Linked DNA regions of Mus musculus. The protein of the gene in region 1 interacts with the protein of each later gene in a pairwise test. Links are inferred from orthologs where the notes say so. Each region holds a gene or a part of one and is shown in the gene's direction. Other genes may lie near its edges. The genes, in order: Thap1, Gpatch2l, Zfp385c and Dvl2.

Region 1 (8,981 bases):
CTGACATCCCCAGTCCTACAAACTGCCCCTGGCGTAATGTGCTTCCAAGTTCTATTTTGTTGTGAGTTGTTCTTCTTTCACTTTTGTATTACATACATTCATACATCTAATGCTCAACTTAGAACCATGCTCAAACCCTGCCCAGTTCTCTCACTCTCCTCTCACTAAACTGTATTGCCTGCACTGCACACACCTTGTTCTTACCAGTCCTGGCTTCTCTGCTACCACCTTCACCCAAGCTACCACCTCTTTGCTCACCAGCAACAGCCTCTTAATTGGTTTGTCTTTTTGAATTGTTGTCTTCTACAGCTCTTAAAATAAGCAGAATTACCCTTATAAAATACTAATGCCTAAAGTGGTTCAGTGGCCACTGAATCTCATCCATACTAATACTCGGCTCCTTCAATCTTTACTTCATGGCCTTCTCCTAACTGGCTCCACCACCAGGGTCTGGCCCTCTTCTACTGGCTGTACTTTCAAACACAGGTTGGTGCTTTAACATACACTCCCAGTGTCTGGAATGTTCCTCCTCACCTTCATCCATTCCATCCTCTGATTAACATTCAAATGTTTGTTTCTTGCATGGGATACCTACCCTTAGTTACCCTTATTCAGGTACCTTAGTATAATTTATACTTTAAAAAAAAAAAAGTCTCCAGCCCTTAATTTACACTTTTATTCTACTTTCCCCTTTATAGAATAAGCTCTATGAAGATACACTAATATGCCTCACTAACAGTTCTGTAAATAACATGCTAGCCCATATGGGGGCATAATATAGGAAAATGAACTAATGAACGAGATAAATGATCACTTACCGCCCACGTTACACCTCACATCCCTACTCCCATCTCAACACAGCAGAATTTATTTTTTCGATAGGTTTTGACTTTGTATACCTTGGTTGGCTAGAACTCACTATGACCAGGTAGTCCTCAGACTCAGCACAATTCTTGCCCTTCCTTTGTGAAGGCTGAGATTACAAGAGTGTGCTACCAAGCCTGAACTTGAAGTGTATTTAAACCTGCATCACCCTTCTGCTTCAAAGCTGACTGTGGAGACAGGTTGTTGCTCAGCACAAGAACCTCAGCATGGTAAACCAGCAGCTTACATCAGCCTGCAGAACCCCTTAGGCTCTTATCCTCTAACCTCTCCTCTTACTTGTCCCCCAAGCCACTGCACTCAGCAACTCCAACACACTTCTGCTTCTCCTTGAACAGGCTGGATCCCCAGGCCTCGGGAGGTGGGCTTCCCGTGCCTCATGGCACCAGGTACAGAAGATGTCCTCACAGCTAATTTGAAATCTTTCAGTAGTTGCTTCCTCTAGTAGGCCAGTCCTAGCCTCATCTTTAATAACTGCAACCTCCTCCAGCATTTTTCGAATTTCTGTGTGACTCTCCTTCTTCTCACTACAGAACACTAGCTTAGTAAAATAACTAGTAAGGCAGACTACTATACCACCCATCTTCACTATATAGCCCCTCAGAAGTACAGAACAGGTTTTCAATAAATAACAAGCCATATGATGTGTTCAGAGTTTAAGGTAACTACATAAATTATTTTTGGGGTACCATCTGTTAACCATATCATGATTTTTTTTTTCTTTGCAGTGGACTAAAGTAGAGAACCTAGTATCAATACCCTATAAAATGTTAATAAACCACTCTTCTGGTGTTCCTAATATATAGCTACTTCTCTGAAACGAATTTAGGTACAGTTTCTAGGTCCATTTAATTCAATGTCTCCTAATTTGTGACAACCAGAGCTGCTGAGGCTACCAGGTTCAGTAAGATGCTGCCAGCCTCCCCAGCACCCCAGTCAGATGAGACAGAGATGTTACAGCACACAATTACAGACATAAGTACACAACTTCACCAAAACAAAAAGGTATAAGGCAAACCTGACAGAAAAAAACACACAAGATACATCTTAAGGAAAGATGAAGCAGTCAGGGGACGGGCATCCCAGGCCAAGCAAAGCTGCCTATCTGAGCAGTTACAGGAGTGTAAGGACAAGCAGGGGAAGATGGTACAAACACAGGAGTACCTGCTGCTTATGCTGCCATCATCAGCAATTTGGACTTTATTCACTACAGAGGTATCCTGGGATGTCTAAGCTTTATAAACAAGGGGCTGGCAGTGTTTTTATGAGGGACAGAGAGAAAGCTGAAGACTAGGACTGACAAAAAGTTGAGACTGTGAGTACTTGAATTCAAGGATGGTGGTGAGAGAATAACCTCTCTATTCTATGAGGTTAACCTAAGTCTCGAGGAAGGGGTCCTAGGAGCAGCTGATAAGAGCACTTAGCATCAAGACTAATGATCCGAGTTAGGTCCCAGAGCCCACAAGGTGGAAGGAGAGAACCCACTCCCACAAACTGTCCTCTGACCCACAACATGTGTGCCTGGTGCCCAGCTGCCTGGAGTTATAGATGGTTGTGAACTGCCTTGTGGGTGCTGGGAATCGAACCCGGGTCACCTGCAAGAGCAACAAGTGTTCTTTTCTGCTGAATTAAAGCCTAGTTTTTTTGTTTTATCTCAGTGACACCAGGATTTCAGATTTAAGTAGTTGGCGAATGTATTAAACCATATACCTGATAACTCTGAAGGCAAGTCCATGTGTGCTCAAGTAAAACGAGCTAGGAAAAGATGGTATGTGGGTTCAATAGTCAAAGTTCTAGAGATGGTAGCCACTAAATAGATCCTTAAGAGAAGCAATATTTAAGGGTACAGAAAATAGTTTATAAGGGAGAGAATGCGCCACACACTCCAAACTACAGAGGGTCAAGCCTGTAACACTTGTCTTCAGCTTGAAAAATCGCTGCGCCTACACAAAGGTAACAACGTTCAGAAGTGCACTGTAGGGATGGAAAGATGGCTCTGCAGTTGAGAGCACTGACTGCTCTTACATAGGTCCTGAGTTCAATTCCCAGCAACCACATGGTGGCTCACAACCATCTGCAGTGAGATCTGATGCCCTCTTCTGGTGTGTCTGAAGACAGCGACAGTGTACTCACATACATTTAAAAAAAAAAAAAAAGGTCTTCCTTCCCAGCTTAGAGGAAATGAAATGCGCGTTTGTCCTCGTTGTCTAGTTAGACGGTCACCTGGATTCTGAACGTGGACCACAGGTTTGTACAATCCACGCATCTGCTGGTTCCCCCCCCTTTAAAAAAAAACTGCGTATGGCCAGGGACGAGCTCTTCCACGTTCTCCTGCAGGCTTTCGGACCCAACAGGCCGTTCTTTATCAAGCTGCAGCAGAAAACGCCGGACAAATTAACGACAGTCACCACTACGAGAACGACTGCAGTCAGGATCCCAAACAAACGCGCTCTCTTCCGGCCAAGGCGCAGAGGGCCCACCCACTTCCGCACTGCTGACCACGCCCCACAGGCGCGCCTCGCCCCAGCCAATGGTCAGCTTCCCTGGGAACGTTACCTTCAGCCAATCAGAGACGGCGAGCCGAGTCCTCGCGAGAGGTGAGGCTGAAGCTGCCTCCGCCATCTTGAAGATGGGAGACGGGCGACAGCTGTGGTCCTTCTGCTAAAGCAAACCCCACAACGGACAGGGTAGTCACTCCCCCACCCCAACCCCCACCCCACGGCGAGGTGATCGTCCCCGTAACTGCTGACCGACGCCACCGAGAGCGGCGAGCGTTATCAAGGCCGAGCGCGGCGACCCCGACGGCCCCCTTCGCCTGCCTCCCGGGCCGAAGGGAAGTGTGGAGGGCCAGAAGGATGGTGCAGTCCTGCTCCGCCTACGGCTGCAAGAACCGCTACGACAAGGACAAGCCCGTCTCCTTCCACAAGTAGGTAACTGGCGTGCTCCGCGGCCGCGGCGACAGGGGCGCGCGGGCGGGTGGGGGCGGAGCCCGGCGCGTGGCCGCGCGAGACCTGGAGGAGGCGGGGCGGGCGCTCGGGCGCTCAGGGCGGCGGACGGGCCGGGCCGGCGGGGGCGGGGACCCACGGGGGCGCGTCCCCGTGGCTGCGCGCCCCCGCTGCGCATCCCGGGCGCGCGGCGTCTCCGTTGGTCTTGGCCTCCGCTGGGGGCTGAGACCGCGCGCCTTCGCGCTCGCGGAGGGTTTCCGGCGGGCGGGCAAGCGAGCGAGCGACGCCCAGAAGCCTCTCGCAGCCCTGCGTACCTCTTCGTCCCAAGCCGCGGCGTGGCCGTGGCACATAGGGAGGAAGTCGAGCTGGGAACGCACAGGGGGAGGAGGACAGGTTTCGGACCTCACTGTGGATGCCGGGAAGGAAGCAGGGCAGCTGACCGGGATGCCAGGGAGGACTCTTAAGTCCTAGCGTCAAAGAACCAACCTTTAGCATCCATGGGCTTTAGAGGAGGCTCTTGGTATTGTCGAGATGAACCCCTGTCTTTCAACACACAGGAAGAACGAGACGATAGCACACACTTGACTCTGTTGCCGTGGTGAAGGTTAATGTGAGCGAATACCAGCTTTACCCCCACAGCCGTCAGGGCTCGTTCTTGTAGTGGGTGCAGCAATCAAGAAGCCAGGGTGAAAAATACTCTGGAGAGATGGCTCAGCGGTTGAGAGCACTGACTGCTCCTCCAGAGGTCCTGAGTTCAATTCCCAGCAACCACATGGTGGCTCACAACCATCCGTAATGAGAAATGACGCCTTCTTCTGATGTGTCTGAAGACAGCTACAGTGTACTTATATATAATAAATAAATCTTTTTAAAGAGAAAAATAAAAATACTCTCTTGAAAGAAGAAAGTCATAGAATTAGCGTTACTGATGGTGTTTGTTAATGCTAACAGTCCACAAAATGTGACAATTTTTAGGCAGGTAAATTTGTTGTTACAAGTTTTATGTTAGGTTTTGGAGGAATTCCTGACTGTATGCAGATGATAGCTAAGAAATCAGATCCACTGGTAAATTATGCAAGTTATCCATAGCAAAACGATTACAGAAACAAATTTCACAATGGTCTCTCAGATTTTGAGGGGTCAGTAGTGTTCATGTTTAATAATGTTTGCAAGAAAGTAAGACTTGTGTGCTGTTTTCTCTGGGGAATAGGCTAGAATATAGCCTAAACTATGACTTGGTTTTTTGAAATTTCATACATCCTCAGAATGTAGGACTAGATGAGGGAATGGTGACAGGGACGTGCATTCGACTTGCCGCCTCCCTTTCCTATGCTTTATTAAGATGGCCCAGGGAACCTTCAAGTATGCAGACTAGTTAAAAATGGCACACATCAAAAAGACCGTTTCAACTGCTGGGTGTTGGAAAATAAGAACAAGGGCTAACATGAGTCTTAAGCCTTATGTAAGAACAGTAAGTGGCCAAGATCTTGCTTGACAGTTCTGTGCCCCCGTCCTAGGAGACGAGACACTAGGACTTATAAGAAGTTGCCACCATGGTGCTTTGAACTTCTTTTTAGGCATATGCTTTTTCCAGCCTGAACATAGTTGCAGTGGAGAAAGCTGGCTAATATAAAGATAAGCCCTAACACGAAGGTTGGCTAGGTCTTCATGAAGAACAGGATGATCGGGGTCTGGCATACCTTATGTGGTGGAACAGCTAAAGAACAGTAAAGCTAAATTGAAACATTCTATAGCTTTTTCTGATCACTCTAGCGTCTCCCACTGCGTCTTTGATATAGAAAAGCACAGGGCAATAAATATAAAGACTCCCCACTCTGTATGCTGAATTAAGCACGAAAATAAAGTCCTTACCTTCTTTATCACTTGCGTATAATTCAGGCTGTCAGAATGTAGTCTATGTGTTGGACTGACTAAAAAAGAGCTAGAAGTCTCTTTGAGGATATAGACATATGTCCGATTTTTGTTCTTCTATAAGACACAGAATTGCTAGTAAGGCATGAGTAGAAGTGCACTGCACATACTGTCTGTTCTAATTGCACTGTCAAGTGTCTTCGTTATGACAAGGTAAAGCTTCCTGAGGGAGATTGGTAACCAGAACTAATCTCCAATCAGAGTCTCCTTAGGATGGGGTAAGGTAGTTCTTTAGTAAGCCGGAGAGTGTGGGGCTTTTCTTTATCTTTTTAAAGTCAGAGAACTGGATTGTCTCTCCTTAGGTTTCCTCTTACTCGCCCCAGCCTTTGTAAGCAGTGGGAGGCAGCTGTTAAAAGGAAAAACTTCAAGCCCACCAAGTACAGCAGCATCTGCTCGGAGCACTTCACCCCGGACTGCTTTAAGAGGGAGTGCAACAACAAGCTACTGAAGGAGAACGCTGTGCCCACAATATTTCTCTATATCGAGCCACATGAGAAGGTAACGTGGGTTTTTAAGTGCTGGGTTGGTGTTTTTTCCTTTCCCAGTCCTTTCTCTGTTTTCTTTCCTCCCCTCCAGTCTCTTCCCCTCCCATCCCTGTGTGAGACAGAGTCGTAAGTAGTCTGGGCTGGCTTTGAGCTGCTGAGGCTGAATCGGAACTCCTGATCCTCCTGCCTTTACCTTCCAAATTCTACTATCATAAGCATTGGCTTTGGGTGAATGCTGTTTTCATTTCTGAAGCTAATGTGTTCATGGGAAAAATCAGGGAAAGGATAACAAAACAAGTGTATCTGAAACCTATCATTTAGCAGTAGCTACTGTTGGGGCTTAGTGGTTAAGAATATCAGAGGTTAAGAGCACTGATTGCTCTTCCAGAGGTCCTGAGTTCAATTCCCAGAAACCACATGGTGGCTCACAACCATCTGCAATGGAATCCAATGCCCTCTTCTGGAGTGTCTGAAGACAGCTACAGTGTACTCACATAAAATAAATAAATCTTAAAAAAAATAAAAAAATGTGTATTGCTCTTCCAGAGGCCCTGAATTTGATTCCTAACACCTACTTCAAGCAGTCTTCTCATACCCTCCCATCCCCCCACTCCCACAGCAGATATGCCCATGATTAAAATATAAATCTTTCTTTTTTAAGAAAAAAAAAGGCCACTATTAACAATAATACATGTTTTAAAAACAATTCTGCACATTAGAGATCTCACAGTAAATAACTCAGTCTAGTTCTGCTTAAGGTAACGGAAACTCTGTTTCATTTATGTGTTGATAAGCTTCATTTTCATTCCTGGGGATGATTTTCAGATTAATTTTTTTCTGTTTTGGGTGTTTAGTATTTACTTATATCCAACTAAATCACTTTCTCTGTTTCACAAATTCCACTTTAACGTCAGTTAGAAAAGTTGAATTAGGACTGGAAATGCCGCATGGTGGCACACACCTGCAGTCTGAGCACTGCAGAGAACCAACTGCGAGGATTGCCACAGTTGAGGCTAGCCTGGTAAACACTGCCATTTTCCAGGCCAACCTGGACTATACAGTAAGGATGCCCCATTCCCCCATACAAATACAAGGAAACCCCAAACCCCAAACAAACAAAAACCACCTTAAACTGATGCCAGGGGCTTATCGCTTGTAATCCTAATACCTGGGAGGTAAATGTAGGAGGAGCTTACGTGTAGGGCCAGCCTAGGCTACACACCTAGGCTTTTAAAATCTACAGACAAGCCAAAGCCTAACGCTGACATGTTTAGGCCTGGAAGGCGGTTTGAATCCTAGAGAGCTTTGCCTAGATGTCCTGGTGCCCTGGATTTCATGCCAGTACTGCAACCCACCAAGACAATGTATTTTCTCATTTTGGACTTCTTGTGTATCATGGAGTGACAAAAACTGTTTAATGTTGAAACCTCAGCTATGTTAGTTACTAACCCCACGTGCTTGTCTGTTGCTGTCTAGAAGGAAGACCTGGAATCCCAAGAACAGCTCCCCTCTCCTTCACCCCCCGCTTCCCAGGTTGATGCTGCTATTGGGCTGCTAATGCCCCCTCTGCAGACCCCTGATAACCTGTCGGTTTTCTGTGACCACAATTACACTGTGGAGGATACGATGCACCAGAGGAAGAGGATCCTGCAGCTGGAGCAGCAGGTGGAGAAACTCAGGAAGAAGCTCAAGACGGCCCAGCAGCGGTGCCGGCGGCAGGAGAGGCAGCTCGAGAAGCTCAAGGAAGTCGTCCACTTTCAGAGAGAGAAGGACGACGCGTCCGAGAGGGGCTACGTGATCCTACCAAATGACTACTTTGAAATTGTTGAAGTTCCAGCATGAAAAAATGAGATGTGTTAGTGGGACAAGACTATACACCTTCTTTTAGCCTACATACAGGAGTTCATTTGAAAAAATAACACTTAATTACTTGTATTAAAAAAACAATATTTTTTTAAAATAAATTAGATATATACTGTAAAATTGTAATTTTTTTGTTTGTAATTTCAGAGTTTCTACATTTTAACAAATATTTAAAAAATCCTTAAACCACCAATATAATGTTGTATATTGGTTTCAAGATGGTGGATTGTTTTTCATTTGAGTATTTATAGAAATAATGTAAAAATAAAAAGTAGAGAGGGTGATGGTATGATAAAATGATTTAAGTTTAAAAATTAATGCCCTTTATTGAGATAACTTATAATTTAAATCAGATGTTTAAGTGAGAGCATAGGACAGAGCCTTTCAGAATATAGAGGTATACATACACACATTTTGTATTTATAGCCAGAGCTTCATTTATTTTTCTCAATCACTTATCAAAAATGAACTGTCAAGCCAGTATTTGAGGCAAACAATATTTTGCTGTCTTCAGAAAAATCATTCCATAGTTAATAGTTTCATAAAGAGTAGTTTTAAGAGTAGATCCTTTTTGTCCCTAGCGTTATGAAATTAGAAGTGTGTCTTGGGGAGTGGCAGGCCTCCAATCAGGTATTGGCATCAGTGAAGAGAAAATTGGGGGCGGGGCTGGAGAGATGTTTCAGTGGTTGAAGGTTCGTGCAAGCCTCGCTGCCTGGGTTTAACCCCTGGGGCCCATGTAAAGGTGGAAGGAGAGAACCACTCCACAGAGTCACCTTCAGGTCCCCATGTGTGCTGTGACAACCTTCTAAAGAAAGAAAAGTTGGGACCTGGCTCCTAATATGCTCTGATCATCCCCTGGCAAAGGCACCCGATT
Region 2 (2,505 bases), on another chromosome or scaffold:
CATTTGATGGTGGTTTCAGAATCCAGACAAGACTTGACAGAGACACGGTAAGAGCCCTTGAGCATTCCTGGTGCCATGTCAAGTCCTACATCCTGTAGAAAAGCATACAGTTTCTCAAGATGGTCTTCATAAAACTGTCATGAGATTTGCCAACTCTGCTTCTTGGTTATATCATGTAAAGAGCAAAAGCAGAAAGTTTAAAATGTTTTAAAAATGTTACCATGTTGTGTGTATGGCTGTTTTGCTTGCTTATATGTCTGTGTACCATAGATATACAAAACTCACAGAAGTCAGAAGATGTTGGATACTCAGAAACTGGAGTTACTTAAGGTTGTGAGCCTCCATGTGGGGGCTGGGAATTGAACCCAGGTTCTCTGAAAAAGTAACCAGTGCTCTGAACTGCTGAACCCCTCTCCAGCCCCCAAACAGAGTTTCCTATGCTGCTGGTCAGAGTAGAACAGCCCAGATTTCCATGGCCAGGTGAATGAGCATCAAAACATGGTGTGTTCATACATGGGGTGCCATTTAGCTAAATTTGACTTTGTGACTGGCTGTTAGAAATGTGCCAAGGCTATCCACTTGGGTAGAATTACTGGATGGGAAAGAAAAAAAAATCTAAAATGTGCTGTATTTTAGTATATCTCAGTATATTTGTATTCTTGGCAGAGTGGGCACACGATGGGAGTGAGAGTGGTCTGTCATGATCCACTCAGGGGCATTTGGAAAGGTGAAGAAAGTAACGGCACATGGTGGGGTGCCGTTGGCGTTCAGTGGACTGGGTCCAGGGGGCACACAGCACAGCTCTGCATCAGCACTGGTTACCCAGTCCAGAGTGTCCCACCAAACTTCCTTAAAGTACTGTGCCTGATTCTATTTTCTTGTCGTATTTACTGGTAACTCCATCATATTGGGGGTCCAGTGTGCCAAGAAAACCATAGGGCTTCCAGCCCAATATTTGAGCGTGAATTGCTACTTTTGATCATTATTTTTTATTTTATTGTATTGTATTTTATTTATTTATTTTGGTTTTATGAGACAGGGTTTCTCTGTGTAGCCCTGGCTGTCCTGAAACTCACTCTGTAGACCAGGCTGGCCTCGAACTCAGAAATCCGCCTGCCTTTGCCTCTGGGATTTGAGTGCTGGGATTAAAGGCGTGCGCCACCACACCTGGCTGAATTGCTACTTTTGATCTACATAGTTTAGTTTCCTGATCCATAAAATGCAGATGACAGTGCCTACTTCTAAGAGTTTCCATTAAGAAATTAGGTCATGCAGGTAATGAATGCCACAGCTGTGATCCCAGTACTCAGGGGCTGAGGCAAGAAGACTGAGTTTGAAGCCATCTTGGGCTACTTCGTACGATGTTATTTTAAAAAAGAAACACACACACACACACACACACACACACACACACACACACACACATACCCAACATGGGGTGGGAGAGAAAGAGTGGGGGAGGGAGTCATGAGTGTCCAGTGCTTAGCAGAGCAGTGCCTGGTACATGTATGCTCCGTGGGTGAAATGTTTTGGGGTTTTCTGTATTGTAAATTTGTCCTAAGTGTTTTAAGTGAAGAAAACATTAACAGGTGATTAGGACATGAAATATAAAGATTAGCCACCGCCGCCGCCGCCTCTTCCTCCTCCTCTTCTTCTTCTTCCTCCTCCTCATCTTCTTCCTCCTCCTCCTTCATTTATTCATTTTATATATGTGAGTATGCTGTAGCTGTCTTCAAACACTCCAGAAGAGGGCATCAGATCTCATTACAGATGGTTGTGAGCCACCATAGGGTTGCTGGGATTTGAACTCAGGACCTGTGGAAGAGCAGTCAGTGCTCTTAACCACTGAGCCATCTCTCCATCTCCAGCCCCCAAGAAACTTATTTCTAGTGCTTCTTATCCTAACTTCTTACACTAACTCCTCTCCCTTCTTTTGTGACAGTGCACCCAGATGTTCTGGAGCCGGCCATCCCAGCTCAGAAGCCTCCTGACTCCGAGTGGTTGGACGGGACCTCTGCAGCAGAGAAAGCCACTGCCTTTCCTCCAGCCACGTTTTTCAAAATGCCACAGGAAAAGAATTCTGGCTGCAGCTCTAGCCCAGGAACCAATGGGTGTTGAAACTTTGTATTGTACAGTCTTAGTGTTCTGATTGGCAGTCTTGGGCCTAATGCCACAAGGACTGACTCCTCGTCACGCACAGCAGTTGCTCTTTCTTTGAGAAAATATTTGGGGAATCTTTTTTTGTAAAATATCAATTTTCCTTAAGTGGGTGGGGCACCCTCTGCTGTCCCCTTCCTTCGTTGCTCGCCCACCATTCACCTTCAGCTGCTGCCTTAGAGCTGCCTCTCCTTGGCAGCTGTGTCTTTGTTCCTGAAAATCTAGCAACAGCTTTTGCGTACCTTCTGTGTAGAGCTTTTCATGTCGCTGATGAAATCCTAAATTTGCAGCCAGTTGGAAACACGTTGCTGGATGGGATTGTGTCTGTGCAGTAAGGCTGGCCATCGA
Region 3 (8,392 bases), on another chromosome or scaffold:
TCCTGAGGACTGGCTTGGGGGTGTCACCCTGGATGCTGGATGGGGTGCATCCTCAGAGAAACAGCAGGTACCCCACCAGCACTGGGAACCCAACTGTTCAGAATGCTGTGGGTTTCTTTCTATCTTCTTAATTTTGTGGGACTTTTGGTTTGGTTTGGTTTGGTTTGGTTTGGTTTGGTTTTGGTTTTTTCAAGACAGGGTTCTCTGTATAGCCCTGGCTGTCCTGGAACTCACTTTGTAGACCAGGCTGGCCTTGAATTCAGAAATCTGCCTCCCAAGGGCTGGGATTAAAGGCGTGCGCCACCACTGCCTGGCTTTGGGGGACTCTTAAAGATTTACTTGATACATATAAGTGCAGACATATATGGGCACCACGTGTGTGCCTGATGCCAGCAGAAGTCAGAAGCTGACATTGGGTCCCCTGTAACTGGAGTTACAGTTGTGAGCTAACATGTGGGTGCTGGGAATCAGACCCAGGTCCTGTAGACTGGCCAGTGCTCTGACCAATGTGCCATCTCCCAAGTCCTATGCTTTGGGTTTCTTTTCATTCCTTCTGTGAGTGGCATGAAACCGGAAGTGAGAAAGGGACAGTTAGTGAGACCAAAAAGAGTTGGCCTTTCCCCGCACTCCCTGAGTTTGGTGCTTTGGGATCAACTGGGACAAGTAGTGTGTCATGCTGTCACCCTGTCACCATGGTTTTGTGTATGTCAACCCTGACTCCTCTGACCCCTCTCTTGGCTGGACTCCCTTTGGTGTCTATTTGGGCCACAGTGCTGACCTTGTCAGTAAGAAAGGGTCACTCTTCTGCTTAGGAGACTTGAGCTGTGGACTCCCGGACTCTGCTTCCACAATGGAGTTGGGATGGTGCCGTTATGAAGAGGGAGCGGGAAGTTCCTGTCTTGGCCCTTTGTTCTGGCAGCAGAGGTGGGAGAGAGCCCCGTGGCTCCTCATTTCAGACCTTGCCCTTCTTCCTTCTGCAGCAGGTCCGGCCTCCGGCTCCCCCAGCCCCTTGTTGGCCTCCCTGACTTTGCCCGCCCGGCCTCTGCAACCCCCGCTGGACCTGAAGCATTTGCTCGCCTTCCACCTCAATGGCACCACCCCGCTCAGTCTCTTCCCCAACTTCAGCACGGTATGGGCCGGGCAGGAGGGTGGGGGGTATGTGCAAGGAAGGGGGTTGGGCAAGGAAGATGACTCGGCTGGCCCTAGGTGCTATCAAATAAGGACCAGCTGTCACCTACCTAGAGATGAGGATGATATCATCCCTACCCCACCATCACAACTGTTCAGAGATGGTGTTTTTTGTTTTGTTTTTGTTTTTTTCTGAGACAGGGTTTCTCTGTATAGCCCTGGCTGTCCTGGAAATCAATTTGTAGACCAGGCTGGCCTTGAACTCAGAAATCCGCCTGCCTCTGCCTCCTGAGTGCTGGGATTAAAGGTTTGGCCACTGCACCTGGCGGAGATGGAATTTTATGGATGATCCGTGTGTGTGAGCTATGTGTGCCCATGGGCACTTGCGTTGGAGGTTAAAGATTATTTTATGATTTCTGTATTTAGTTATGTGCGAGTCGGTATGTGTTCACATGTGTGCGCAGCAGCCAGAGGAGGTCACTGGATGTCCTCTGTGGTCTCTCTCTGAACTTGGAGCTCCTGTTTTCTCAGCAAAGCAAGAGACCGGTGTGTTGAGGTTTGGTTTGTTGCTATGTATTGTAAGGCTAAATACTGACCCTGGTTGCCCTCAGGGACCAGAGAAAATCCTCACATACACCAAGTAATGCTATCTGACCTTGCTCTGTCATTTAAAACTATTATTAGTTGAATAAAGATGCTGACAGCCTAGATCTGGGCAGAAGAGAGGTAGGTGGGGTTTCAGTTTCCCGGGGTTGGTGTCTGAGGAGGACCATGAGAGAGGAAGAAGGTGGGTAAGGAAGAACAAGGAGGAGAGAGGAGACTCGCCAGGAGAGGAGAGGCAACCAGGAGAGGAGATGGACCGTGAGCAGATGGCCAGGAGAAACAGCAAGGATTTGGGGTACACTGCTGGGGAGGCAGCCAGGCCAACAGTTAGAAGAGTAGATTAGGCGTTAGCCCCCAGTAATTGACAAAGCAAAATAAAATGGCCATAGTCTGAGTCTCATTTATTTGTAAGCTAGTTGGGGGTAAGCTTAAATTGGTTCTGCTACAGACCAGCACAACCCAGCAATCCTCCTGCCGTCATTCCCAGGGGGCTGAGATTACAGACGTGCATAAAAGCACCTGGGTTGTTATGTGGGCGCTGGGATCTGAACTCTGACCCTCATGATTGCATGGCAAGTGCTCTTCACTGCTGAGCTGTGGCTCCAGACCTTGAGTTATATCTTCGTCTTGGAGTTTGTGTACCTACCTGGAGGTCTGTGTGTTATATGTGTGAGTTCGTGTGTTATTTGTGAAGATGTGTGTGTGTGTGTGGTATGTGTGGTGTGTGTGTGGTGTGTGTGTGGTGTGGTATATGTGTGTGTGGTGTATATGGTGTGTGTGTGTGTGTGGTGTGTGGCAGGAGCAGATGTTCGGAGCCCTCCCTGAGGTGTTAGGAGCAGCTTCCCTTTAATTCTCAAATGAAATCATGATGAGCTCCACTCTCTCCTCAGGATACTATGTCACATGTCACATGCCTTCCCAGGAACCTGGAGAGGTTCCCCCCCCCCCCCCCGTTTGTCCCCTGCAGGGTGGTACAGATGTCCTGAGGAGCATGAGACATCTGGGCATGGGCCTATGAGCTTTAGCCCCTATTGTCATTTACAGATGTGCTTACCGCCCAAAGGAGTGGGCTCCAAAGGCAGGTGACACTACTGTTGGCCCAGTGTCAAGATCTCCCTCTGAAATCCTGATGCAGGGCTGGCTGTCCCTTGGGCACTGTCCAGCTTGTAACCTCTGTCCTCAGGGCAGTTCCTATACCATGCTCACCTCTCTGCCTCAGGTCTCTTCCCATGGGAAGGTTTGGAAAGTTCCTTTTGACTAAACCAGACAACCTCTCCTTTGAATCCAACAACCTAGGCGTCTAATGCACAGCATGGTGGCCCTGCCTGCAATGCTAGCATTCTGGAGACTAAGGAATGGGCACTAATGACAGCTTGGGCTACACAGTGACTTAAAGGCCAGCCTGAGCTACGTAGTGAGACTCTGTTACCCCCCCCAAAAAAAACCCCAAAAAACAAAAAACAAAAAAACCAAATAAATGTCCAAAACTTAGGCCCCTGGGAGAAGAAAACAGAAGAGAGAGAGAGAGAGAAAGAAAAAGCTAAAGTGGCTTGGGATATAGTAAAGTTGGAAGAGAGTTTGCCTAGCATGCACAAAGCCCAGAGTTTGATTCCCAGCACTGCATAAATCAGATGTGGTAGCACATGCCTTTAATCTCAATTCTTGGGAGGTAGAGGCAAGAAGGAGAGTTTAAGGTCACCCTCAGCTACAGAGTGGCTTTATCTCAAAAGAAAGAAAAAAAGACAGACTACTGCATTGTGTTGCATGCCTATAATCCCAACACTTGGAAGCTGAGGCAGGAAGACAAGGCTTCTAAGACCAGCCTGACCTAGGTGAGACTTTGTCTCAAAATAGATAGATAATCAAGAGAACAAAAAAATGAACAAAACATATTAATTAGGGAAAAAAAGAAAACATGCAAGTTCATATTGCAAAAGGGACAATCCTGCCACCTGGAGTAACCCGGAGAGGTTGTCCTGCTTGGTCACCTGCCTTCCTGCCCTCCTTAAGCAGGTTTCATTCTGCTTAGCAGTCATCAGACTTTGGGACAGTGGCAGAGGTGATGAGGTAGGGCTTCTTGCCCCTACCAGCAGGTCCAAGTACAAAAGCTGGGTCAGGAGACAGGAAATCCCACCAAAACAAAATCTCAAAACTAAGACCAGAAGGGCAGCAAGAGACACCAAGGTGATTCTGTGTCAGGCCATGGCCCTAAGCACACCCTGGTCATCCTCTTGGCACCTGACAGATCACGTCTGCCAGAACAAGGCTGTACCCTTGTCAGAGTTATAGCATGAGTTGGGGTTTCTGGGCGGCTGACTGCATTTTGAACTGCACCTTTCCTGAGCACGCAGGAGGAACTAAGTCCTATCACTCCCCCCTCACAGATGGACCCAGTCCAGAAAGCTGTCATCAGCCACACATTTGGGGTCCCTTCCCCTCTGAAGAAGAAGCTGTTCATCTCCTGTAACATCTGTCATCTGCGGTTCAACTCAGCGGTGAGAGGGAATCATGGGATTGGGGCTCGGAGGGAGCAGGGTCTCCTTCGGGGCTGCTGTCATGGGAGCTGGTAGCAAAGGGGCTGTTGCTCTGACCACCATCCTCTCCTGACTCCTGCTCCTTCTCATACTTCTTCCTGACTCCATGTAGCCCACTAGAATTCCATTCTCCTCCCCTCTGCTTCACACCCATCTTCTGGATGTCCCAGAGGCTACAATGTGAACTCCCGGTCTTGACTTAAGATGTTTAGAGCATGTATTCACCCCGGCATCTTTGGAGTGGGGCTGGAATTTGCTGTAGAGACAATGCGGTCCTCAAACTCACAGAGAACTGCCTGCCTCTCTCCCAAGTGCTGGAATTAAAGGAGTGCCTTACCATGCCCAGCTTGATTGAATTTTGTTGTAGTTGTTGAGACAGGGTCTGTGTAACTCTAGCTGGAACTTACTCTGTAGACCAGGCTGGCCTCAAACTCACAGAAATCTGCCTGCCTCTGTCTCCCAAGTGCTGGAATTAAAGGTGTACACCACTAAGCTTCATCACCCTAATGGACTCCCATGATGCATCTGTGAGAGGTACAGAGGCACAATTACCATCTTCACTTCTCTGAGGAGAACACAGTCTCATGGTGGATAAATAATTTGCCAGGGAGCACAGCTGGTGAATAACATTTCTAGGGTTTGAACCCAGCCCTGACTGACCCTGAAGTTTGCACACTCCTACTGCAGCCTATCCTGGGGGAGCAGAGGGGGCTAATCTCATTGTGGGGTTTTGGGTGAGGTGTCTGAACCACAGTGGAGCCAAAGAGCCAAAGGGGGGCCTTGTGGAGGCTGGTCTTTCCCACTTTTGGGAAATAGTTGAGAAACAAGTAGAGTCTCCTGACTGAAGTAAAGAGGATTCTGACACCCAGCTGTGGCATCCTCTCCAGATGTTTAGATCACATCATTCTACAAAATGTCAGTAAAGAGATTTGCTGGAAGGGACATGTCTCCATTCCTAGGCCCTGGCAGAATGGCTGGGCCAACAGCAAATGCTCAAGAATTATTTTTAAAATAATGAACAATGGGATGTTTTTGATGAGGACTGCTGTGCTCTCCATGGGCGGACTCCCTAACATTCAGGAGATCCTGCTTTATAAACTAGACCCTGACAACTCATATCCCATGAACCATCATGAAGCTTCAAGCGGGGCACACCTATGGTCCTGTTACTCGGGAGGCTGAGGCAGGAGGATTATGAGTTAAAGCCAGCCTGGGCCACAGAGTAAGTAGTCCATTTCCAGAATATTCTGTACATATAGGCAGACACCCAAGAGCATCACTTGGTTAATGTCCCTGGGTTCAACACTTCTGGATCTGGGAACACAGAAACAAATAAGGTTGGAGAGATGTGGCTTAGTGGAGCCCAGTAGTCATAAGGCTTTGTGTGCAACTCTAGGTTCAACACACACACACACACACACACACACACACACACACACACACACACAGCCTTTGAGTGAGGTGCTGTGACTTGCCTAGAGATGCAGAGCTTACATAAATGGCCAAGTTTGATTCTGAGGGCAGGCTGCCTGCATGGGAGCCCCTGTGTGAGAACAAGCTCTGTTGTAAACCTCAGGGCTCTATACATGTGGCAATGATGGTGACACTGACATCACCCCTTTGTGGCTGAGCCTTGTGTTCGTCCCTTTGACCACATATTCCTCTGGCCTATCCCCCTACTCAGCCTCCCTCCTAGATGAGGCATGAGACCCACGGGAAGAAGATGACCCCTCCCCTCCCTCTTCCAGAACCAGGCTGAGGCTCATTACAAGGGCCACAGACACGCCAGAAAACTCAAGGCTGTGGAAGCTGCCAAGAGCAAGCAGAGGCCTCGAAACCCGACCACAAACGGGACAGTGGTGTCTTCAGCCTCACCTCCAGCCAGTGGAAGCCCTGGAACCCCTCAGAGCAAAGGTCAGTCTTGATTTCAAGTTCACACAACGAGGCTGGCTTCTGACAGCGGCTTGAGTGACTCTGGCTCTTCAACCATCTTTCTTTCCTTTTTCTTTTGTTTGGTTTTTCAAGACAGGGTTTTTCTGTGTAGTCTCAGCTTTCCTGGAACTCACTCTGTAGACCAGGCTGGCCTTGAACTTATAGAGATCCATCCACCTGCCTCTGCCTCATGACAGTGCTGGGATTAAAGGCATGCACCACTACTACCTGGCTTTTTATTTTTAACTTGGGATTTTTTGGTGTGTGTGTGTGTGTGTGTGTGTGTGTGTGTGTGTGTGTGTGTGTGTGAATGTGTGTATGTGAATGTGTGTGTGTGTGCATGTGTGTGTGAATGTGAATGTGTGTGTGTGAATGTGTGAGAATGTGTGTGTGCATGTGTGTGTGTGAATGTATGTGTGTGTGTGAATGTATGTGTGTGTGTGTGAATGTGTTGGTGCTCATGGAACACAGAGGCCAGGAGGGGTCATGAGGTCCCTGGAGCTGGAGTAGCAGTGGTTATGGGTTCTGGGGACTGCACTCCCATCTGCTGCAAGAACAGTACATGCTCTTAACAGCTGAGCCATCTCTTTAGCTTTTCACCATATTTCCTGCTAAAAAAAATGACCCCTAATATACAGACATTGGCAGACACCTATACTGTTCCTTCCTCAGGCTGACTCTGGATCAGGCAACGTGCTGCCAGCACACCTAGCCTGAGCTAGGATTCAACTACTCCCTGTGTTGGTTCCCTAAGGCTGGCAGAACACAAGGCTACAAAGTAGGTGGCTGAAACAATAGAAGTGTATTTTCTCCACAATCTAGAGGTCAGAGGTCTGCATTCAGATGTGGGTAGGTTTGGGTTTTTTTTTTTTTTTAACCTGGGGGCCAGAGGGAGAAGCTCCTGTCTCAGCTAATGGGTACCACTGTCCCCTACACTCCTTAGAGACGGAGGAAGGAGAATTCAGAGTTCCAGGTCAGTCTGGAATACACATCAAATTTAAGGCTAGCTAAGGTTCTGTAAGACCCTGACTCAGAAAAGAAAGGACAGGGGGTTGGGAGTCTACCTCAGTGGGTACAGTACTTGCAGACCACTTGGGAAGTCCCGGAGTTTGATTCCTAATACCACCACGGAACTGGGAATAGTGGCACGGACCCATGATCACAGCATTTGCGAGGTGGAGGCAGGCAGGCTAGAAATCTAGTTCAAGGGTATCCTCAGCTATATAGTGAGTTCATGGCCAGCCTGAGATACACTAGACTCTGACAAAAAACAACATTCCCCCTAAAACCTCCACTAACACCCATCATTTCTGAGTTTACATGTGGTCATTTTCCTTTCCTGTGCTGTGTTCTCTGCCTCAAAGATAGATTACCATTCACCTGTATGATGGATCTCACCAATTTCCAGTTTAATGCTATTATAATACTAAAACATTCTAGCACATCTTTCTGGTGACTTCTACTTACTCAATACTGAGGAGCTAGAACATTAGACTGAAAGTGTGACCAATTCTGTCCGATTTTATGATTTTTTTTTTTTTTGGTTTGGTTTTTTGAGACAGGATTTCTCTGTATAGCCCTGGCTATCCTGGAACTCACTTTGTAGGCCAGGCTGGCCTCGAACTCAGAAATCTGCCTGCCTCTGCCTCCCCAATGCTGGGATTAAAGGCGTGCACCACCACACCAGGCCGATTTTATGATTTTTTATACAGGGAAACTGAGGCTCAAGTTTGCCTAGTGAGTTGGTGGCAGGGTGAACCCAGAATTGAGTGCTAGCTGTCCTTTACCAGGAAGCCTTCCAGCCTCCCATTCTATCACCATGTCAGTGTTGCGCCTCAGAGGTCCAAATCTCCCCATATGTCCCATGTCCTTGCAGGTCCTGCATCCCCTCCTCTTGGCCCTTCACTTCAGCTCCCGCCGACCCCGGACCCATCAGCCGGAGACCCCGTCCACTCAGCCGGAGACCCCGTCCACTCCGAACTTTGTGATGCTGCTGCTTCGTCTTCCTCCTCTTCCTGCCCACCCTGCTCCCCGGATCCCAGCAGGGAAGCACCAGGGCCTGAGCCAGCAGAAGGGGCCGTGGGAAGTGGAGTGAATGGGGAGGGCAGGGGCGAGAAGGGACGCCTCTACTGCCCTACCTGTAAAGTGACAGTGAACTCCGCCTCTCAGCTTCAGGCTCACAACACAGGTCAGTG
Region 4 (8,392 bases), on another chromosome or scaffold:
TGCACCACCACCGCCCATCTAGGGTGTGTGTGTGTGTGTGGTGTGTGTGTGTGTGCGCGCAAGAGAAACCCTTGCTCACTGAGTGCCTCTTGCCTCGGCCTCCCAAGTGTTAGTTGAAGGTGTACCCCATCACACCTGGCACCTTACTAATCACTCTGCTCTCTCCGCAGGGTGGTGAAGGAAGAGATCTCCGATGACAATGCCCGCCTACCTTGCTTCAATGGAAGGGTTGTCTCCTGGGTAAGGGGACTCATTACTGAGCTGCTTCCAACCTCAGTCTGTCTCTGCAGCCTCCCCCCTGCTCAGTCGCGGGTGGCCTGGCTTCCCTCTTCTCTAATGTGGATACAGTGAGCACTCCTCGGCCTCCTCTTCCTATAGCCTCCCGTACTGGATTGTTTTTTCTGGCCTCTTCACCCAGGTCTCCAGGACCCTGTGTCCTTCTTTTCTGGTCCTTTTCCTTAGTTTCTTCTCGTACACCGCTCCCCAGCAGAACCATGTTTTCTTACGTGCTCTCTTCTAGCTTGTGTCGTCAGATACCCCACAGCCTGAGGTGGCTCCCCCAGCCCATGAGTCTCGGACAGAACTGGTTCCTCCGCCTCCACCCTTACCCCCTTTGCCACCAGAAAGGACCAGTGGAATTGGGGACTCAAGGCCTCCATCCTTCCAGTGAGTCCTTTATATTCTTGAGTCCAGGGGATGGGAGCGAAGAGGGAATTCAGTCTAGACCTCTTGAGAGAGGGGGACTGAGGTTCCGGTGCTCTGTCCGACTGACTTTGGTTGGAAACTCTCTCTACCTGTGTAGCCCTAATGTATCCAGCAGCCATGAAAATCTAGAGCCTGAGACAGAGACCGAATCTGTCGTATCACTGAGGCGAGACCGACCTAGGAGGAGAGACAGCAGTGAACATGGCGGTGAGGGGATGGACCCTGGAGGCAGGGTAGACTGAGCTGGGCAGACAGGCAAGCCTTAGCATGCTGGGTATGAAGAAGGGGAGGCCTGGCTCCTGAGTCTCTTGTTTATACACAGCTGGTGGCCACAGGCCTGGTGGCCCCTCGAGGCTGGAGCGCCACCTGGCTGGCTACGAGAGCTCTTCCACCCTCATGACCAGTGAGCTGGAGAGTACCAGCCTAGGAGACTCGGATGAGGATGACACCATGAGTAGGTATGGCTGCACACTTCCCTCCCTGTTCCCTCCCTCCTCCCCCCTCCTCCCCTCCCCCTCCCCCCCAGCCAGTCTTCTTGTTTCATGTGGCTCCCTGACCACTTCCACCTCCAAATGCTATGCTTCTCAATTGCTATCAGGTTCAGCAGCTCCACTGAGCAGAGCAGTGCCTCCCGCCTCCTCAAGCGCCACCGAAGGCGAAGGAAGCAGCGGCCGCCACGCATGGAGAGGGTGAGGGTTCTTTTGGGATGAAGTGGGCTCTGGTTGAAACACAAGCTTGTGGCTTCTCTCTCTGTTGACGGGGAGCAGTTCACACCTTTCATGTCTCCCCGCTGTAGACCTCATCCTTCAGCAGTGTCACCGATTCCACAATGTCTCTCAACATCATCACGGTCACGCTCAACATGGGTATGGAGGGTCCTGACGGGGAGAAGGGAAGGAGAGAGAGGGGCTTGGGGTTTCTGGGGCTCAGTCATATGGCCCCCCTCCACAGAGAAGTACAACTTCCTGGGCATCTCCATTGTGGGCCAAAGTAACGAGCGTGGTGATGGGGGCATCTACATCGGCTCCATCATGAAAGGGGGCGCGGTGGCTGCGGACGGGCGGATCGAGCCTGGAGACATGCTTTTGCAGGTGCGCTGACGGCCTGGCTGCTGGCTGGGGCGGATGCTCTGCCCCTCCCACACTGCCCATGACCCACCACCCCTTCCCTTCAGGTAAATGATATGAACTTTGAGAACATGAGCAACGACGATGCTGTACGAGTGCTGAGAGACATCGTGCACAAGCCAGGGTGAGTGCGGCTGGCCCCAGGCCTCTTGGGCTTAAGCCTGTTTACCTTTGTTTTGCAATTTTTATAAAGACGTGAGGCCAGGCATGGTGGTGCATGCCTTTAAACATGTTATTTGAGGCACAGTTGGGCTGAGTGTGAGGCAGCCTGGTCTGCAGAGTGAGTTTCAGTCCATCCGGGTCTACATAGCGAGAAAACAAAAACCAAACAAAACAAGGGCTGTAGAGATGGCTCAGCAGTTAAGAACACTGTTTGCTCTTCCAGAGATCCTGAGTTCAATTCCCAGCAGCCACATGGTGGCTCACAACCATTTGTAATGAGATCTGATGCCCTCTTCTGGTGTGTCTGAAGAGACTGACAGTGTACTCACGTACATAAAAAAAAACAAATACGTCTTTCAAAAGAGAACAAAACCCACAAATTGCAAATCTCCCTGGCATGTCACTCCACACTAGAGCATGAAGCAGATGTGGGTGAGCACCTGAGAAGAGGCCACCCACTGTGTGCTCCTTGCCACTCCCTCTCCTCACTGATGATAATTACCGTTTGGCTTCTTTGGTCAAGAAAACCTTTAATGGTTTTTCATGCATGAGTCCTGGAACAAGATGGTTTGGTGTTACCTGGGTGAGGCTTGCTGTGAGTGAAGGGAACATTCACTCTGCTCTCCATTGTTCCCCGCAGCAGTGTTTTGAACTTAGCCATGTTGTGAGTCACACGCACTGTGGAGGCCTTCACCCTCACTCTCTCTAGCCCAGCAACGTGAGCTCTTTTCTTTCCCACCTCTCTGTCCTCAGTCTCCTCCCACCAGGCCTCGGGCTTCCTGAGGCCTCGTCCCTCCCCTGAGCTGCTCTGCTCTTCCCCACAGCCCCATCGTGCTGACCGTGGCCAAGTGTTGGGACCCGTCTCCCCAGGCCTACTTCACCCTCCCTCGAAGTGAGTGATGCTGGGGCTGGGGTCTGGAGTTAGGAGATCTGGGGAGCGTGGGCACTTGGGAGGTTAAGGCGGGAGGATCTCTAGATGGATGAGGCCAGCCTGGGCTACAGGGTGAAACCCTGCCTCAACCAAACAAGCCCAAAAAGAGATGAGAAAAGCTGGAAGTTGTAGGGAATGTGTTCAGGAGGGCCAAGGGATGGGGGTAGACAGAACTCCTAATTCTGGAACACACAGGCCTAGTTTTCCAGGCTTGAGCAGCAATCATCTTGGTGTTTCACGTTACTCTTGTCCTAGATGAGCCCATCCAGCCCATCGACCCAGCCGCCTGGGTGTCGCACTCGGCTGCGCTGACTGGCGCCTTCCCTGCTTACCCTGGCTCCTCATCTATGAGCACTATCACATCTGGCTCCTCTCTGCCTGATGGTGAGTCTCTCTCCTTTCCCGCCTCCCTGGGTGTGTGAGGGACCTTTCGTAAGTTCTCCGTGGTCTCTCCTATCAGGCTGCGAAGGCCGGGGTCTCTCTGTCCACATGGACATGGCCTCTGTCACCAAGGCCATGGCAGCCCCAGAGTCTGGGCTCGAAGTCCGGGACCGCATGTGGCTCAAGATCACCATCCCAAACGCCTTTCTAGGTATTCCCAGGCCCTGAGCAAGGTGGCATGGGAAGGTGGGGAGGAGGCCAAAGCTGGGCACAACACAAGGTGGAGGGGAGGGGAGGAGCTGGGAGGAGAGTCTGACCTGTTTGCTGTGCTGGATCCCAGGCTCCGATGTGGTGGACTGGCTGTACCATCACGTGGAAGGTTTTCCTGAGCGCCGGGAGGCCCGCAAGTATGCCAGTGGGCTGTTGAAGGCGGGACTCATCCGGCACACCGTCAACAAGATTACTTTCTCTGAGCAGTGCTATTATGTCTTCGGGGACCTCAGTGGTGGCTGTGAGAGTTGTAAGTCAGCAGGTCTGGCTGTAGGAGCTCAGGCTGATGTGTGCCCCGGTACTGCTGAGTAGTACTGCTGAGTAAGCGAGGTACCTGAGCTGCATCCCCAAGGGAAAGAGTGCTGCACGGGGCTCACAAAAGCATTTTGGGGCTATTGGTGAGAGTCCTGGCTGTTTCTCTGCCAGAGCAGCAGAGTTTCCTGTTGTAAGCCATCATGGTCTCTGGCTTTTGTCTCGTGGGGAGCTCTGGGGAAATGGCTCAGGTTTCTCTGTTCTCAGGAATCCTGGCCTCCTAAAGCAGGGACCTCTCTTCCATTTTTTTCCAGACCTAGTTAACCTCTCTCTGAATGACAATGACGGTTCCAGTGGGGCTTCAGACCAGGATACCCTGGCACCTCTGCCTGGAGCTACTCCCTGGCCCCTGCTGCCCACCTTCTCCTACCAGTATCCAGCGCCACACCCCTACAGCCCCCAGCCTCCACCCTACCACGAGCTTTCTTCGTACACCTATGGTGGAGGCAGTGCCAGCAGCCAGCACAGTGAGGGTAAGTGACCCACTCCCACGTACCAGTACAGCCAGAGAAAGTGGGCACAAGTAGAGCGGATTCGGGGAGGAGAGGCAAGAGCAGGGACTGGGATCCTGAGGACTCTGGGCTGAGCTTCATTTTCCTCGTCACCTCTGCCCTCCAACAGGGAGCCGGAGCAGCGGGTCGACAAGAAGCGATGGGGGGGCTGGGCGCACAGGCAGGCCTGAGGAACGGGCCCCTGAGTCCAAGTCCGGCAGTGGCAGTGAGTCAGAACTCTCCAGCCGGGGAGGCAGCCTTCGGCGGGGTGGGGAGCCTGGTGGGACTGGTGATGGCGGCCCTCCTCCATCCAGGGGCTCGACAGGCGCTCCTCCTAATCTCCGAGCTCTTCCCGGGCTCCATCCCTATGGAGCCCCATCTGGCATGGCTCTCCCCTATAACCCCATGATGGTAGTTATGATGCCTCCACCCCCACCCCCTGTCTCCACAGCAGTGCAGCCCCCTGGTGCCCCTCCAGTCAGAGACCTGGGCTCCGTGCCCCCAGAACTGACAGCTAGCCGTCAGAGCTTCCACATGGCCATGGGCAACCCCAGTGAGTTTTTTGTGGATGTTATGTAGGGACCCATCTTGAGGCCACATTGGGTCTGTGCCCTTGGCCTGGCAAGTTTCAGCCTGGTGCCCTTCATAGTGCCTGGGCTCAGCCTGGCGGCTGGTGCCTACCAAAACGTTTTTGCCACTGTGACTCTCACCAGCAGTGCCTGGTCCTTCCCCCTCTTCCTCGGGGGTAGATGGGGACCTTTGGTTATTTTTAGCTTTATTTTTTATAAGCTTTTTGGGGGGTTAAAATAGACTTTCTTATATTTGGGGGAGTATTTTTTTAAATAGACAGTTCCTCTTTTATATGGAGAATCCCTTCTAACCCCAGAATATGACCGCCACCTCCAGGTGCCTAGTCAGCTCTCATGTTGAGGGTGGGTGGTGGTCAGTGGTACCCTGGGAAGAAGAAGGTGTGGGCTGGGTACCCCAGACAGCAGTCCAAGGAGGCTGGTGGTGTGTTGGGGACTGTGTAGCTGCCTTTGTTACTCTATTTATTTTAGTCACTTGTACAAAACACCAAATAAAGCAAATAGAGGCCAACTCCCCAAGCCTCTGGCTCCTTTCTTTGCGAGGCAGGCAGTGGAGAGGAGGGAGCAGTGACATTCACGGCAGACAGTGACTTGGTAGAAAATTTATTGTTAAGGCAATAAGTACTCCATCACCCCCATAAAGGGTTTTGGCATCAGAGAAGGCACATGACCTTGCCAGGGCCTGATTGGGAGTCTCAGATTCCCAGGGGGTTACCGGTGACCAGGCCACCATTCTCCACCATGGCCTTGGAGATGCTTCTGAAGTTCCGGAAGAGCTCCTGATGCTGAGGGCTGGACTGCAGACTGGCCATGTTTTCTCGGATCCGAGTTGCAGCCTGGGGAGAGGGAAGGGGAGGGACGGTCAGGCCGTCCTGTACTGGGGAGCTCCAAGGCCCACCTGTACTGGGGAGCTCCAAGGCTCACCTCAATGCACCAGCTATCACAGAGCATTTTCTCATGCTGTGCCGTCGGGTAGCCCTCACTCAGGGACCTTGAGGCTCTGTGAGGAAACAGAGGTTAAAATGATCCTGAGTGCTGGTGTTGGCCCAGCTCCTCTGTGGCTCTAGCCTGCCAAGCGTCCCTCGCTGCCGCCTTACCTGGACAGAACCACCACCATGGCATAGAGGTCAATGGCGCCGTCCGCCAGTCGCTGCAGCAGGAACTGCTCGTCTGTCAGGTAGATGAGGGTGGGGCTGTTAGTCGGAGGGAGGGAATCAGGGAGGGAAGGGGGTTGCAGAGCTCACTCACTGACAATCCCTTTCTTGTGTTTCACCAGCTTGGCCTCCACCACGGTGGCAAATTGATCCAGAGCCTGCACTGCCTGAAGAGACAAGAGTCACAGACAGAGCTCAGGAGAGGAAGGCAGCGCACAGCCACCGCAGGCTCTGCTTTAAGGCTCACTCACCAGTTCACCACTGCGACTTAACTCTGGGTGGACAATCCCTGACAGACTCAAACCACTGCCGATTCCTGTCCTCCTGAGAGGAGATGGAAGAGTGACTGGTCAGTTGCGGCCTCCCATCTTGTTTGACCCTGACTCTGACCCTGGCCCCGGCCCATGAGGTACCGTCTCAGCTGTTTGCCTGCTTCTCCCATCAGGAGGCCAACGTTTCCAAAAGGATTCTTCAGGGCATTGCCCAGCCCAGTGAGTTCCTTTCCTTTGTCCTGTGGAGAGAAGGGGGACGGCGACAGTGAGGACTCAGTGTCCTCCCCAGCTGCTCTCTCTCATCCTCCTTCCTCTTACCATACAGCCTTGCAGAGCCACAAACAGTCGAAGAATGTCATTTGCCCCTTCAAAGATCCGGAAGATTCGAATATCTCGGAGCACACGCTCCACCCCTGGTTCCTGGCACGCAGGAAGACACAGAAACCTCTGTTGAGATGTGCCTGTCCACTCTGAACAGATGCCCCCCCCTGCCGAGGAATACTCTGTACCTTCATGAAGCCCATGCCCCCCATTATTTGGATGCACTCATCTGCCACTTTCCAGGCCGCCTCCTGAGGACAGAGAACCAGATGAGTTGGATTTTTGAGCTGAGGTCCTAATCTGGACTCCGCCCTCCCATCACACCTGGGTCCTCACCGAGCAAAAGATTTTGCTGATGGCGGCTTCTATCTGGAAGTCTTTGAATCCCTGGTCCATGTTGGCACTCAGCATGTAAGCCATGGACTAAGGGAGCATGGTCGGGACATGGGGAAGACAACAGGGAAGGGCTGCATCAGACAGAATGGCTAATGCTCAGACCTTCAAGACCAGTGCTGATCTACTCCTCCAACCCTTGAATTCACTTTAGCCTCCTGGTCAGGTCAAATATGTCCAATATGTGACCCTCTGGTATATCAGGGGCTTCGAGGCTTCCGACTTTGTAAAGGGGTGGGTTAAAAGTCGTGTTTGGTGCATCTGGGCAGCATTTAGCAGAGCAGCACCACCCTCCAGAAGAGAACTGACTATGCCTCCTCGCATCCCCTAGGGCATTGGTGTAAAGCTGGAGACCCACTGCCCCAGGTGCTGCTGGGGGTTGTAGTCTGACCCAACTGTGAAGAAAGCCATAGGGCTCCAGGGAAGGGGCCCAGGAGGCCCTTACCTCAGTCACATACTGCAGAATAGCCATCCGAGCCAGCTTTTCCTGGATCACCCCAAAGTTGTGAATTTTGTCCCCAAACTGGGTACGATTAGTAGCATGATCAACCTGCAAGAGGGCGCATGTTACCCCACTGTGGTTCTTCAGTTTCCACCTGGACGGGCTGGAGGCCTAACTGTGCCGATGGTCGAGTGTGCATGTGTGTGTGTCGGCGCTCTGAGGCAGTCAGGGACATGTGCTAGCTAGGGACTGGGCTGGGACTCACCGCCTTGGCAATGAGGGATTTCATGGTGCCTGCGAGGGTTGCAGCCATCCCGAATCTTCCGTTGTTGAGGATGTTGACAGCAACCTTGAAGCCATCTCCCACCTCTCCTAGCACATTCTCTGATGGCACCTTCACTCCATCAAAGTACACCTCTGACGTGTTAGATGCTTTGATGCCCATCTTCTTTTCAGGGAGCCCACTGAAAAGGCAGGGCAGGAAAGTTGAGGTATGAACAGGTTGCTGTGGGGGAAAACGGCCTTTTCGGGTCTCATGATCAGGGGAGAACTCCCCAGACTATAAAAAGGATACAGGGCACTGCCTATGTGCCCCAGGGGCTACGGATATCTAGCTATGGCCTGTTAGCCTGTGTTCCCCCAGTGGAAACAAAACTGCTCACCTCCTGTGGGTGCCTCTTGTACAGAGATAGCCCCAGCGTGGCCTGTATTGACTATTTGCTCTTGAGAGCCCAGTGCTGTCCCCATCCTTGATTCTGTTTTGCCCCATACTCACTGGGTAACCCCTCCGAAGCTCCTTTCCACTACAAAAGCTGTGATCTTCTCTTTCACGGCCCCCGTGGCT

The links.
Region 2: the proteins of Thap1 (region 1) and Gpatch2l interact in binary tests that used the Homo sapiens proteins (3 or more experiments, as listed by UniProt). The two-hybrid records come from large-scale screens. The link is inferred for Mus musculus from reciprocal best matches to the Homo sapiens genes THAP1 and GPATCH2L.
Region 3: the proteins of Thap1 (region 1) and Zfp385c interact in a two-hybrid assay, tested with the Homo sapiens proteins (3 studies listed by BioGRID). The two-hybrid records come from large-scale screens. The link is inferred for Mus musculus from reciprocal best matches to the Homo sapiens genes THAP1 and ZNF385C.
Region 4: the proteins of Thap1 (region 1) and Dvl2 interact in a two-hybrid assay, tested with the Homo sapiens proteins (2 studies listed by BioGRID and IntAct). The two-hybrid records come from large-scale screens. The link is inferred for Mus musculus from reciprocal best matches to the Homo sapiens genes THAP1 and DVL2.

What each region holds. Positions count from the first base shown.
Region 1 is NC_000074.6:26,154,714-26,163,694, forward strand, and holds the start of Thap1 (THAP domain-containing protein 1), read left to right. Parts: upstream 1-3,455; 5' UTR 3,456-3,737; coding exon 3,738-3,808; intron 3,809-6,061; coding exon 6,062-6,257; intron 6,258-7,720; coding exon 7,721-8,086; 3' UTR 8,087-8,981. UniProt on the Homo sapiens protein: DNA-binding transcription regulator that regulates endothelial cell proliferation and G1/S cell-cycle progression.
Region 2 is NC_000078.6:86,286,858-86,289,362, forward strand, and holds part of Gpatch2l (G patch domain-containing protein 2-like), read left to right. Parts: intron 1-1,942; coding exon 1,943-2,118; 3' UTR 2,119-2,505.
Region 3 is NC_000077.6:100,630,481-100,638,872, reverse strand, and holds part of Zfp385c (zinc finger protein 385C), read left to right. Parts: intron 1-980; coding exon 981-1,129; intron 1,130-4,115; coding exon 4,116-4,226; intron 4,227-6,013; coding exon 6,014-6,179; intron 6,180-8,073; coding exon 8,074-8,385; intron 8,386-8,392.
Region 4 is NC_000077.6:70,004,635-70,013,026, forward strand, and holds the end of Dvl2 (segment polarity protein dishevelled homolog DVL-2), read left to right. Parts: intron 1-170; coding exon 171-240; intron 241-520; coding exon 521-666; intron 667-802; coding exon 803-912; intron 913-1,027; coding exon 1,028-1,163; intron 1,164-1,303; coding exon 1,304-1,394; intron 1,395-1,501; coding exon 1,502-1,571; intron 1,572-1,656; coding exon 1,657-1,796; intron 1,797-1,879; coding exon 1,880-1,956; intron 1,957-2,818; coding exon 2,819-2,886; intron 2,887-3,180; coding exon 3,181-3,309; intron 3,310-3,385; coding exon 3,386-3,517; intron 3,518-3,646; coding exon 3,647-3,826; intron 3,827-4,142; coding exon 4,143-4,361; intron 4,362-4,509; coding exon 4,510-4,958; 3' UTR 4,959-5,475; downstream 5,476-8,392. Other genes in the region: Acadvl (very long-chain specific acyl-CoA dehydrogenase, mitochondrial precursor), read right to left, coding at 5,662-5,802, 5,891-5,966, 6,064-6,136, 6,215-6,287, 6,372-6,444, 6,534-6,631, 6,711-6,812, 6,902-6,964 and 4 more.